Linked DNA regions of Caenorhabditis elegans. The protein of the gene in region 1 interacts with the protein of each later gene in a pairwise test. Each region holds a gene or a part of one and is shown in the gene's direction. Other genes may lie near its edges. The genes, in order: K12H4.3 and C15A11.4.

The links.
Region 2: the proteins of K12H4.3 (region 1) and C15A11.4 interact in a two-hybrid assay, tested with the Caenorhabditis elegans proteins (one large-scale study listed by BioGRID).

Annotation. Positions count from the first base shown.
Region 1 is NC_003281.10:8,043,760-8,048,151, forward strand, and holds K12H4.3 (Ribosome biogenesis protein BRX1 homolog), read left to right. Parts: upstream 1-2,274; 5' UTR 2,275-2,285; coding exon 2,286-2,402; intron 2,403-2,526; coding exon 2,527-2,979; intron 2,980-3,052; coding exon 3,053-3,191; intron 3,192-3,244; coding exon 3,245-3,468; intron 3,469-3,611; coding exon 3,612-3,737; 3' UTR 3,738-3,853; downstream 3,854-4,392. Other genes in the region: K12H4.5 (uncharacterized protein), read left to right, coding at 728-1,021; spcs-3 (Signal peptidase complex subunit 3), read left to right, coding at 1,276-1,418, 1,518-1,668, 1,729-1,874, 1,923-2,025; mals-1 (Mitochondrial Assembly of ribosomal Large Subunit), read left to right, coding at 3,954-4,238, 4,290-4,392. UniProt on the Caenorhabditis elegans protein: Required for biogenesis of the 60S ribosomal subunit.
Region 2 is NC_003279.8:7,397,906-7,402,735, reverse strand, and holds C15A11.4 (uncharacterized protein), read left to right. Parts: upstream 1-1,712; 5' UTR 1,713-1,883; intron 1,884-1,937; 5' UTR 1,938-1,938; coding exon 1,939-2,035; intron 2,036-2,079; coding exon 2,080-2,207; intron 2,208-2,277; coding exon 2,278-2,485; intron 2,486-2,766; coding exon 2,767-2,879; intron 2,880-2,954; coding exon 2,955-3,243; intron 3,244-3,356; coding exon 3,357-3,464; intron 3,465-3,525; coding exon 3,526-3,657; intron 3,658-3,706; coding exon 3,707-3,828; 3' UTR 3,829-4,026; downstream 4,027-4,830. Other genes in the region: col-7 (Cuticle collagen 7), read right to left, coding at 28-837, 899-1,039.

The DNA of each region.
Region 1 (4,392 bases):
ATAACGAAATGGCTTTGTGTTGGAGCAGGATTATACTAGCCCAACTCGGAGAATAATAAATTATTCGAAATTTTCAAACTATAATTGTTTTTTTAACAAATATTATAAAACACAGAAAATGATAATTGACAATTACGATTCTCGTCCAGCCGTGTTTCCCAATTTCTCTTTCCATGAGGTCTCTCTCTCACGAATCGCTATTCTCTTTTTCGCGATGTCTCAGCTTGCGCATTTCGTGGATAGTTCTACTGACACATTTCTCGTAACTGGCGCATTTCTCGACTCTATTACGCGTATTTATTTTTCGTATTTTGCAACGTTTTCTTATAATTTTAAAGCCATTTGCTTTCAAATTTATGTATTTCAGTCATCGAAAATTATTAGAATATTGTAGCCAAACAGAAATATTATAATCAATCTAAAAATATACGTTTAATTCGTTTGGCTCTTTGAAGGCAGAAGTGACAGAATACAATTAAGTTAAATACGTTTAATCGGATTAAGTTTTCTTCAAAGATTACACTGAATATGTGAAATCATTTATTGATTTAGTAATATCGTTTTGTTTTTGTCTTCTCTGAACAATTAACCCGTTCCACCTCGTATTAAATTAATTAATTTATAATGTGATCCTTTTTTTGGCATGTCGATTCATTATGATATAACTTACTAATTTCCGAGACTTTCTTGCTTTATTTTTGGCATTATTAGAGGATGTTACAGGGTGATGATCAAGTACCACGTGTCGCGAAGCGCCCGACTCTGGGCTTACTGGAGCACCCTGCCACATCGAATGCTCAAGAAATACCCGGAGCAAACTATCTTCTACGCGACTTTCGGAGTAGCCACACTATTGATTGGCGGATATAAAATGAAGAAGTACTTGACAGAAAGTGATAAGCCATTCTACCGCGGATACTACGACGTCGTCCGTTCCAACGACCCAATCGCACAAAATTGGAGAAAACCAGAAGAATATCCAGCACCGTATCTTCTTTCAAGTGTTGAGACAGCTCATTGATCAATCGTCCAAAATAATCAACGAGAAGCCAATAAGTCGTAGACGATTTTCGATTTTCACTGTAAATTGGACACATTCGGTGTTTTATTTTTTAGAAGAGTTTTTAAAATGTAAATGAAAGTTTTCCTTTTTAAAATTTGTTTTCATTTGTCTACTGAAGTGTTTCAGCCACAACAATTATATTTTCTATATGTATTTATATTAATTTTATTTTTCATTTTTATCCAAAGTTTCAGGCTGATTCGAGCTCAAAGATGCACAATCTTCTGTCTCGTGCTAACGCACTCCTAGCGTTCACTCTTTGGGTGATGGCCGCAGTCACAGCAGCTTGTTTCCTGTCAACAGTTTTCCTCGACTACACTGTTCCAACCAAGCTCACTGTCAACGATGTCAAAGTGTAGGTTTTATAAGAGAAATAAAAAAATTGCGAAATTCTTTCAAGCGTTTCTCCGAAAACATTTTAAACGTATTTCTGTAAATCTTATTCCATTTTCAGGAGAAACGTTGTCGACTACGCCACGGATGAGCAACAAGCCGATCTCGCCACACTAAACTTCAATCTGAAAGTCGATTTTTCAAAGATTTTCAACTGGAACGTCAAGCAATTGTTTGTTTATTTGGTTGCAGAATATAAATCGAAAGTCAACGTAAGCTTTGGAAACTTTTATTGAGGATCGAAAAAAACTTCTTTTTTTTTGCAATTGTAGGAGGTTAACCAAGTGGTGCTATGGGACAGAATTGTGGAACGTGCTGACCGTGTGGTTATGGACGAGATCGGTGTCAAGTCAAAGTATTATTTCCTCGACGATGGAACCAATTTGCTTAACCACAAAAATGTCACCTTTGTTTTGAGGTTTGAATTGAAAATTCGATAAATAAAACCAAATATTAAAATATTTAGATACAACGTGATTCCAAACTCTGGCTATCTTCGTCTTGTTCAATCTTCCGATCAAGTTGTTGTTCCGTTCCCAACCACATACACAACTACTCGAAGATCCTAGTTACATCTTATTTTACTTGTTTCATATGAAATACTATGGGTTATGTGTTTCATCCGTAATTTATTTAATTCATCCGATTGTGAGATATTTCTTAACTTATTTTTGATTTTCTTCACCACATTTCATAATAAGATTTAAAAATCCGGGAATTAAATTAATTTTTATTAAATGTCTTGGTTGCTTTCACCCTTTGCATATTTACTTATTTTCGTTTCTCTCTTCCATATTATTTTAAATTACAACCTTCAGGATCAGAAATAATGGGCAAGTTCTCGAAAATCAAGAAAGTTCAAGAGGAGGAATCTGCGCACCAGAAAATGGAATGGGAAGCTGCCGGAGCCAAGGACTCGAGCTCTGATGATTCTTCTGATGAATCGGTAAATCTTTATTAGCTAGTTTAATTTCCAAAAGGTTTTTTTGGAACAAGATTCTAATTGGAAAGTCTAAAAAATTTATTTTCAATATCTAATACCATCTTATTATTAATTGTAACATTTTCAGGACAATGATGATCAGCCAAAACAAGCAACTGAGGAGACCCGTAAACGCGCGGAACTTTGGACAAACCGCGAACGTGTACTTGTGCTCTGTTCCCGCGGAGCCGACGTTCGCACCCGTTATTTGATGAAGGACATCAAGGATTTGTTGCCACATGCAAAAGGAGATTCGAAGCTGGATCAGCAGAAATCTCTGAATGTTCTCAATGAGATTGCTGAAATGAAGAATTGCACAAAAGTAATGTACTTTGAAAGTCGTAAGAGAAAGGACACTTATCTCTGGATGTCAAATGTTGAGAAGGGGCCATCCATCAAATTCTTGGTGCACAATGTGCATACAATGAAGGAACTCAAAATGTCAGGAAATTGTCTGAGAGCTTCAAGACCAGTCCTTTCATTTGACGATGCTTTTGATAAGAAACCACAATTGAAGCTTATCAAGGCCGTGCTTATGCAGGTAATTTTGTAAAAATTGAATTTGAATAAATATTTTGTTAGAAAAAATTATAATTTTCACAAAATAATTTCAGACTCTTGGAACACCACATCATCATCCACGCAGTCAGCCATTTGTGGATCACGTCTTTAATTTTTCTGTTGGAGAAGGTGATAAAATCTGGTTCCGCAATTTTCAAATTGTTGATGAGAGTCTTCAACTTCAGGAAGTTGGTGAGTATATAGTTTGAATACTTTTTATTTACATGCACAACATTTTTCTTCAGGACCACGCTTCGTTTTGGAAATGGTTCGTTTGTTCGCTGGCTCATTCGAAGGAGCCGTACTGTACGACAACCCAAACTACGTCTCTCCAAATGTGATCCGCCGTGAACACCGTAAAGGACAACATTCGTATATCGAGAAACAGTTGGCTGTGAAAGCATCAAATATCAAACAAGCTAAAGTCACAGAAATTCTCGCTGAAAAGACTGTTGATTTGGTTGGAAAGGTACGATTTTGAAAATAAAAAACATGAAATTAAAATCAAATTTGACAAAATACAGTCATAATATTTACTATAAAATTATTATACAATTATTTCCAAGTACCACAATCGATTTGAACGAGTTTTTAATTTATCTTCCTTTCCAGGAATTCGATACACAAAACAATGCCGCTGCTGACTCAGAGGCTGCTGCTCAGATCACTGCTCAAATTGAGAAACGTCGTGTTCGCAAGAAGAAGAGCCAAGCATCAAAGTACACTGGATCCGATTAATTTTTGTTGAATTTATCACATTTTTGTTGTTATTGTTGATTTTTTATCTCAAGCTACTCTGTTGTTTCTTACTCTGATCTTTTTATGCCTTTTTTGAATAAAAAATTATCAAAGCGAAATTCAATTGTTTTTTTCTAAATATGTGTCAAAACCAACTCAAATTTATTATTTTTCTAATTTCTCGAGATGCTTTTGTCAAGAATATGTCGTTTCAGAATGCTTACACGATTCACACGACTTCGTCCAATTCTACAGTTACGATATCTTGCTCAAAATTCGCATATCGAAGAGGAATATTTCGAAGAATTAGAGCCAACTGGAATCATTTCCAGTCACGAAACAAGTCAAGAACCTCCAAAACGGACAGGATTCAGAAGCCAGAATTTGTCAGAAGACGCTGATTTTGTAGAGAATGTGGTCGGAGCTTTGACTGATCAAAGAGCAAAAGATGTATTTGTTGTAAAATCAGAAGAAACAGAAATGACACCGTATACACATAAGGTAATTAATCCTCGTAATTCAGTAAGGAGAAAATTAATCTCATATTTTCAGATAATTTGCTCAGCATTCAATTCGCGACAAGCTTCAGCAATTTCTGAAAATCTTCGATCTCTTCTAAAAATTGACGGAGTGTCGAATGGATCCATGTCACATG
Region 2 (4,830 bases), on another chromosome or scaffold:
AAGAGTCTATAGAATAAATATATAATTTTAAGCTTGAACATGACGTCTAGCTGCAACCACACGCTTCTTTGCAACACGCTTCTTGGCAACAACACGCTTCTTTGAAGCAGCTGCACGATGACGGTTGACATTACGATGACGAAGAACAGAACTACGAGTTGGGCAAGGACAATAAGCAGCATCGGATCCTGGTGTTCCATCATTTCCTGGTGCTCCTGGCTGTCCATCTTGTCCTGGATGTCCTGGTTGTCCATTTGGTCCTGCTGGCCCTGGTGGTCCAGCTGGTCCTGGAGCATTCCCGCTTCCTGGTTGACCTGGGGCTCCTGGTGGTCCTTGTGGTCCTGGTGCACCCGATGGTCCTGGAAGACCGCGTCCACGTTGTCCAGATTTTCCTGGGCTACCAGGATTTCCTGGAGCTCCGGCCTGTCCTGGTGATCCAGCACTTCCAGCTGGCCCTGGAGGTCCTGGTGGTCCCTGACCTCCACCTTGTGCTGGGGCTCCTGGATTTCCATTTGGTCCCTTTGGTCCAGGTTGTCCTGGAACTCCAGCTGGTCCTGGAAGTCCTTGTGGACATTTGATGCATTCTTGTTTCTGATGATGAGATGGCCCAGCAACACCAGGCTGTCCTGGTTTTCCAGCTTGTCCTGGTTGTCCATCATGCCCCTTATCTCCTGATGCTCCTGGTGGTCCTGGTGGTCCAGCTGGACAATTGGATGCTTGTTGACCACAATTGCATTGAGATTGCTTCTTTTGACGACGACGACCAAAGACGCTACGAGCCATACGGACAGAATCATCCTGGTTTATCATTGAGTTCCAAGCATCATTGGCAAAGCCCTTCAAAATTCAATTAAGCAAAATGTATTTTTTTCAAACTTTAATTTAATAAAAAACTAACCTTGAACTCTCCCAATTCGCGATGACTGTCTTCAACAAACGAATTAATGTCGGAATAAATATGGAAGACAGAGATCAATGCTCCAAATACCACAATTCCGGATAAACCGGCCATAACCGAAAGAAACGTTGCTGAAGACATTCTACCAGGTGAATGACTGTGTTCCAACAATTTTCAGTCACTCCTTTTAAAGCAATAGCCATCACTTGAACTGTTCAGATTAGGTTCACAGTGTAAAGTTTCGAAAAAAGGACAAGAAGAGAATGGGTTCCAGAGAAGTTTGCTGTAATCTGTTGACTTCTTTGTGGCGATGTTCATTAAAAAATATTATACGTTCCCGAAGAGACGCAAGTCATTTTTAAGATTGACTGGTCAATTCAATTTTCTTTCAAGTTCAAGTTCAATTGTAAAATGTATCACATTGCGGAAGTTTCGCAGAAATCCTAATTTTGAAGAAGAACAATTTTGGCAATCCTTCCGGTAACTGAAAAAAGAAGATTTCGAGCTGTGACATTTTATTTGATGATTGGCTTTGGCATTTTCATTTCTGCGTCACTGCAATTAATAAATATTGATAAAATTTGAATCGTTCAAAAGTTCAGATTTCAAAATAGTTGAAAATAACTCAACTTGTTGCATGATTACAATTTGCAACTATGTTGTTCGAAGAAAAGGAAGAAATTATGACGAATGTCATGATATTATTACAAAAGGGCTTTTTTAGAGACAGTTTATTTGTGTTTTGTTGTTCTGATCGATGTGTTCAAAAGTCTAAAAGAATATATTATAAATGATGACAATTATTCTTGTCTTCTTCCAACCTAGACTGTCGTCTATTTCATTCCCCAATTGGTTGCTAATGCAGCTTTATAATAAACAGGAACCCGTTTCATTTGTTATCTTAATTCTATAAAGCTTTTATTTTTTGTTTTTTTCTCGTATTCTGAAATTTCTTCACCTGTATTTATTATCTCCACAACCAAAGGTAAGAAAATCTAATATTCACTGTGATACAAATTTCTCCGAATCTTAATTCCAGAATGTCGGAAAACATTTCCACCCCTGATGAAAAAACAGAATCATCCACGGAATCAAATTCTAAAATACTAAAATGGTGCAAGAAATATCTACTAGAAGGTTGTTCTTTTTTCTGAAAATATAAATAATTTTCCGATTTCCAGGCCAGCAGCTAGATGAGAAACATGCAGAAAAAGTTCAAAACTTTCCTGAAAATCCAACAGTTTCTGATTTCGTTTTTATTAAATACCGAAAATTTGTAGCAGTTTTGATACCGTTCTGCTTTGTACATGTTGGTATTTTTAGTAGTTTTTAATTGCTGCATAAGGTTCGTGTTTTTAATATATTATTTTCATTTGCAGGTTTTGTGGTGGAGCACGGCAATCCGTTACAACTTTTTCCACCTCTACAATGATTATTGGCACATGCCAGTTACTATGATTTTGGGTGCATTAGTAGCTGGAATGACTGCTGAAGGAGCTGGAGCTGTTGCATTTCCGGTTATGACATTGATTCTACATTTAGCACCTTCAATTGCAAGAGATTTCTCTCTTATGGGACAATCTATTGGTAAGGCTGGAATGGAATGAGTCGCTTTGCAGCATTGTGAGAATATTGATTTTTCGTTTCTGGACCGGTATTTATTAGGAAATATGCATATTCATCGAATGAGTTTACTGTAAAAATTGTTACGAATTTCTGTTTTATGTTTCTGAACACATTTTTAAAATGTAACACCTGCTCAAACATAGAAAAGTAAGTTTTCTAGAATTTCTACAACTAAAAATAACATGACTGAGCAAAACTTATGCAAATTATGAGAACAAACTCGATACAATTATTTTTCTCAGGAATGATGTCTTCACTTGTTTGCGTGATTTTTATGAAGGTTCAGTACGAATCAATGGCTGTGATTTTTGGAGTACTTGGTGCTATCCCGGGTTTCATTTTTGGAGTTCATGTTGTAAGTTTGTTCATAAAATTATCCTCTCCGTATTATCCTCTCTGTTTTTTTGCCCTAACAGTCACTCCATTGCAGTTTGACCCTCTCTTCACTGGAGCACAGAAGAAAATGATGTTCGTATCAATATGGACCGCATTTGCTTTTGCTCTCGGACTACTGAATGCTCAAAAAAAGAGGCCGACATTTGTCAAAATTCCAGAATTTTGTTTCTGGAAAGGTCTTCTTCTGTTCTTAACAGGTATTGTTGGAGGAGTCTTTGACGCATTTGCTGGAAGTGGAATTGATATTTGTATGTTTTCAATTGTGACCCTATTATTTCGAGTCAGCGAAAAAACAGCTACACCCACAACTATGATTTTGAAAGGTGAGAGAATGTTTGTAACTCCTAGAACTAAGTATTCCTTTAGCCTTTTCTATCAAAACTTATTTGGAGTATACTTGACACAAAAGTACAATAAAAAACTGTACAACTTTAAGGAATCGTCTCTGTGTTTGGGTTCTGGTATCGTGGGGTTATGATGGGAGACATATCGGAAACTGCATGGAATTATTTTGCTGTAACAATACCAGTAGTGGCAACAATGGGTAAATGAAATTCCCTCGAATTCTGATGTTTTACACCACTTTTACATTGTTCATAATTTAGCACCAATTGGTTCATTTCTTGGATCTCATCTCCATCGACAAGTCATTGCGGGGCTCATTTATGTGTTAGAATTGGCATCTTTAATTGGTTTTCTGCTCACAAATCCCTCGTGGGGACTGATTTCCGCAGCAGGTACGTTTTCCCTTCTCAAATTTTTTCCGAGAAAACCAGGATATTTCAGTTACAATAATTCTATGCGGTTTCGGTTTTTTTGCACTCATTGCCAAGTCTGGTGAAATTTTGATGAGAAGATTGGAAGAAAATAGTGAAGAAAAACAGGAGAACTTTGAGATGGTTGCGTGAATTAATTAGTTATTCTTGTGATATTTTCCTTGGTGTTTATTTATTTATTTATTGGAAGAAAATTCTATGAAACTTTTCCTTGTTTTAAATAGCTGTTATGTGTTCCTCAAAACCTTATTTTGAAGTTTTAACAAAAATAATAGTGTCTGTGAGGATTTGCATACTGTTTTTGAACAAATAAAATTGAACAAGAACAAATTATCTTCATTTTAAGGTATGTTCAATTTTCTGATGCAGTCACTTTCAGAAAAGAATGTTGATTTTTCCATTTCTCTAACTTTTCCTTCAAAAACGAATCTCAAAAAGTCTTTCTACATTTTTAAAAGATTTGTTTGTTTCACGCCCTGTTTTCCCACGTACTTTATCCGCTTAAAGTGCCCACTTCAATGGATTTGTTTTTCACTTTCACTTGTAGTAAATCCATATGAGTACTACATCATAACTCTTCCTCCTTTTTTCGACTTCTTCTTCTTTTCTTTTTTTCTTTTTCCGGGTGTTGACAACATCGTCATGATCCTATTCAACAATCTTCTCCTCCTTTTTTAACACTAAACTAATTTCACATCGGGAGCCTCCAGATTTGATTCTCCACTGGAAAGAATCTTCAAATATTATATTAAATTGTTCCGTTTCCAATCTCAAATATTATGTATAGTGGGGAAGATTGCTGTTTGGTTGCAGTTTCGTTTCAGAAAATAAAAATTTTGAAAGTTTTTGATTGAGCAACTCCATTCAATTTTGAAGTTTATTCGAACTTTCCAACGGATTAGGTAACAAGTTGATAAAAATTTAAATTAAAAACGTTAAAATAAAATATTTTAAAATTTGTTTGGTCAAAAAAGATTTTTTTTTGTATTTGTAAGTATCATAACGAACTTTGTGAATTTCAGAACAAAATCTACAACATTTCGGTATAACTAATATTTTCCAAACTAACAATGTTCCAGAAAATTTTCCTAATAATGTTTCTAGTTATTAAAGAAAAATAATATTAGTAAAGGA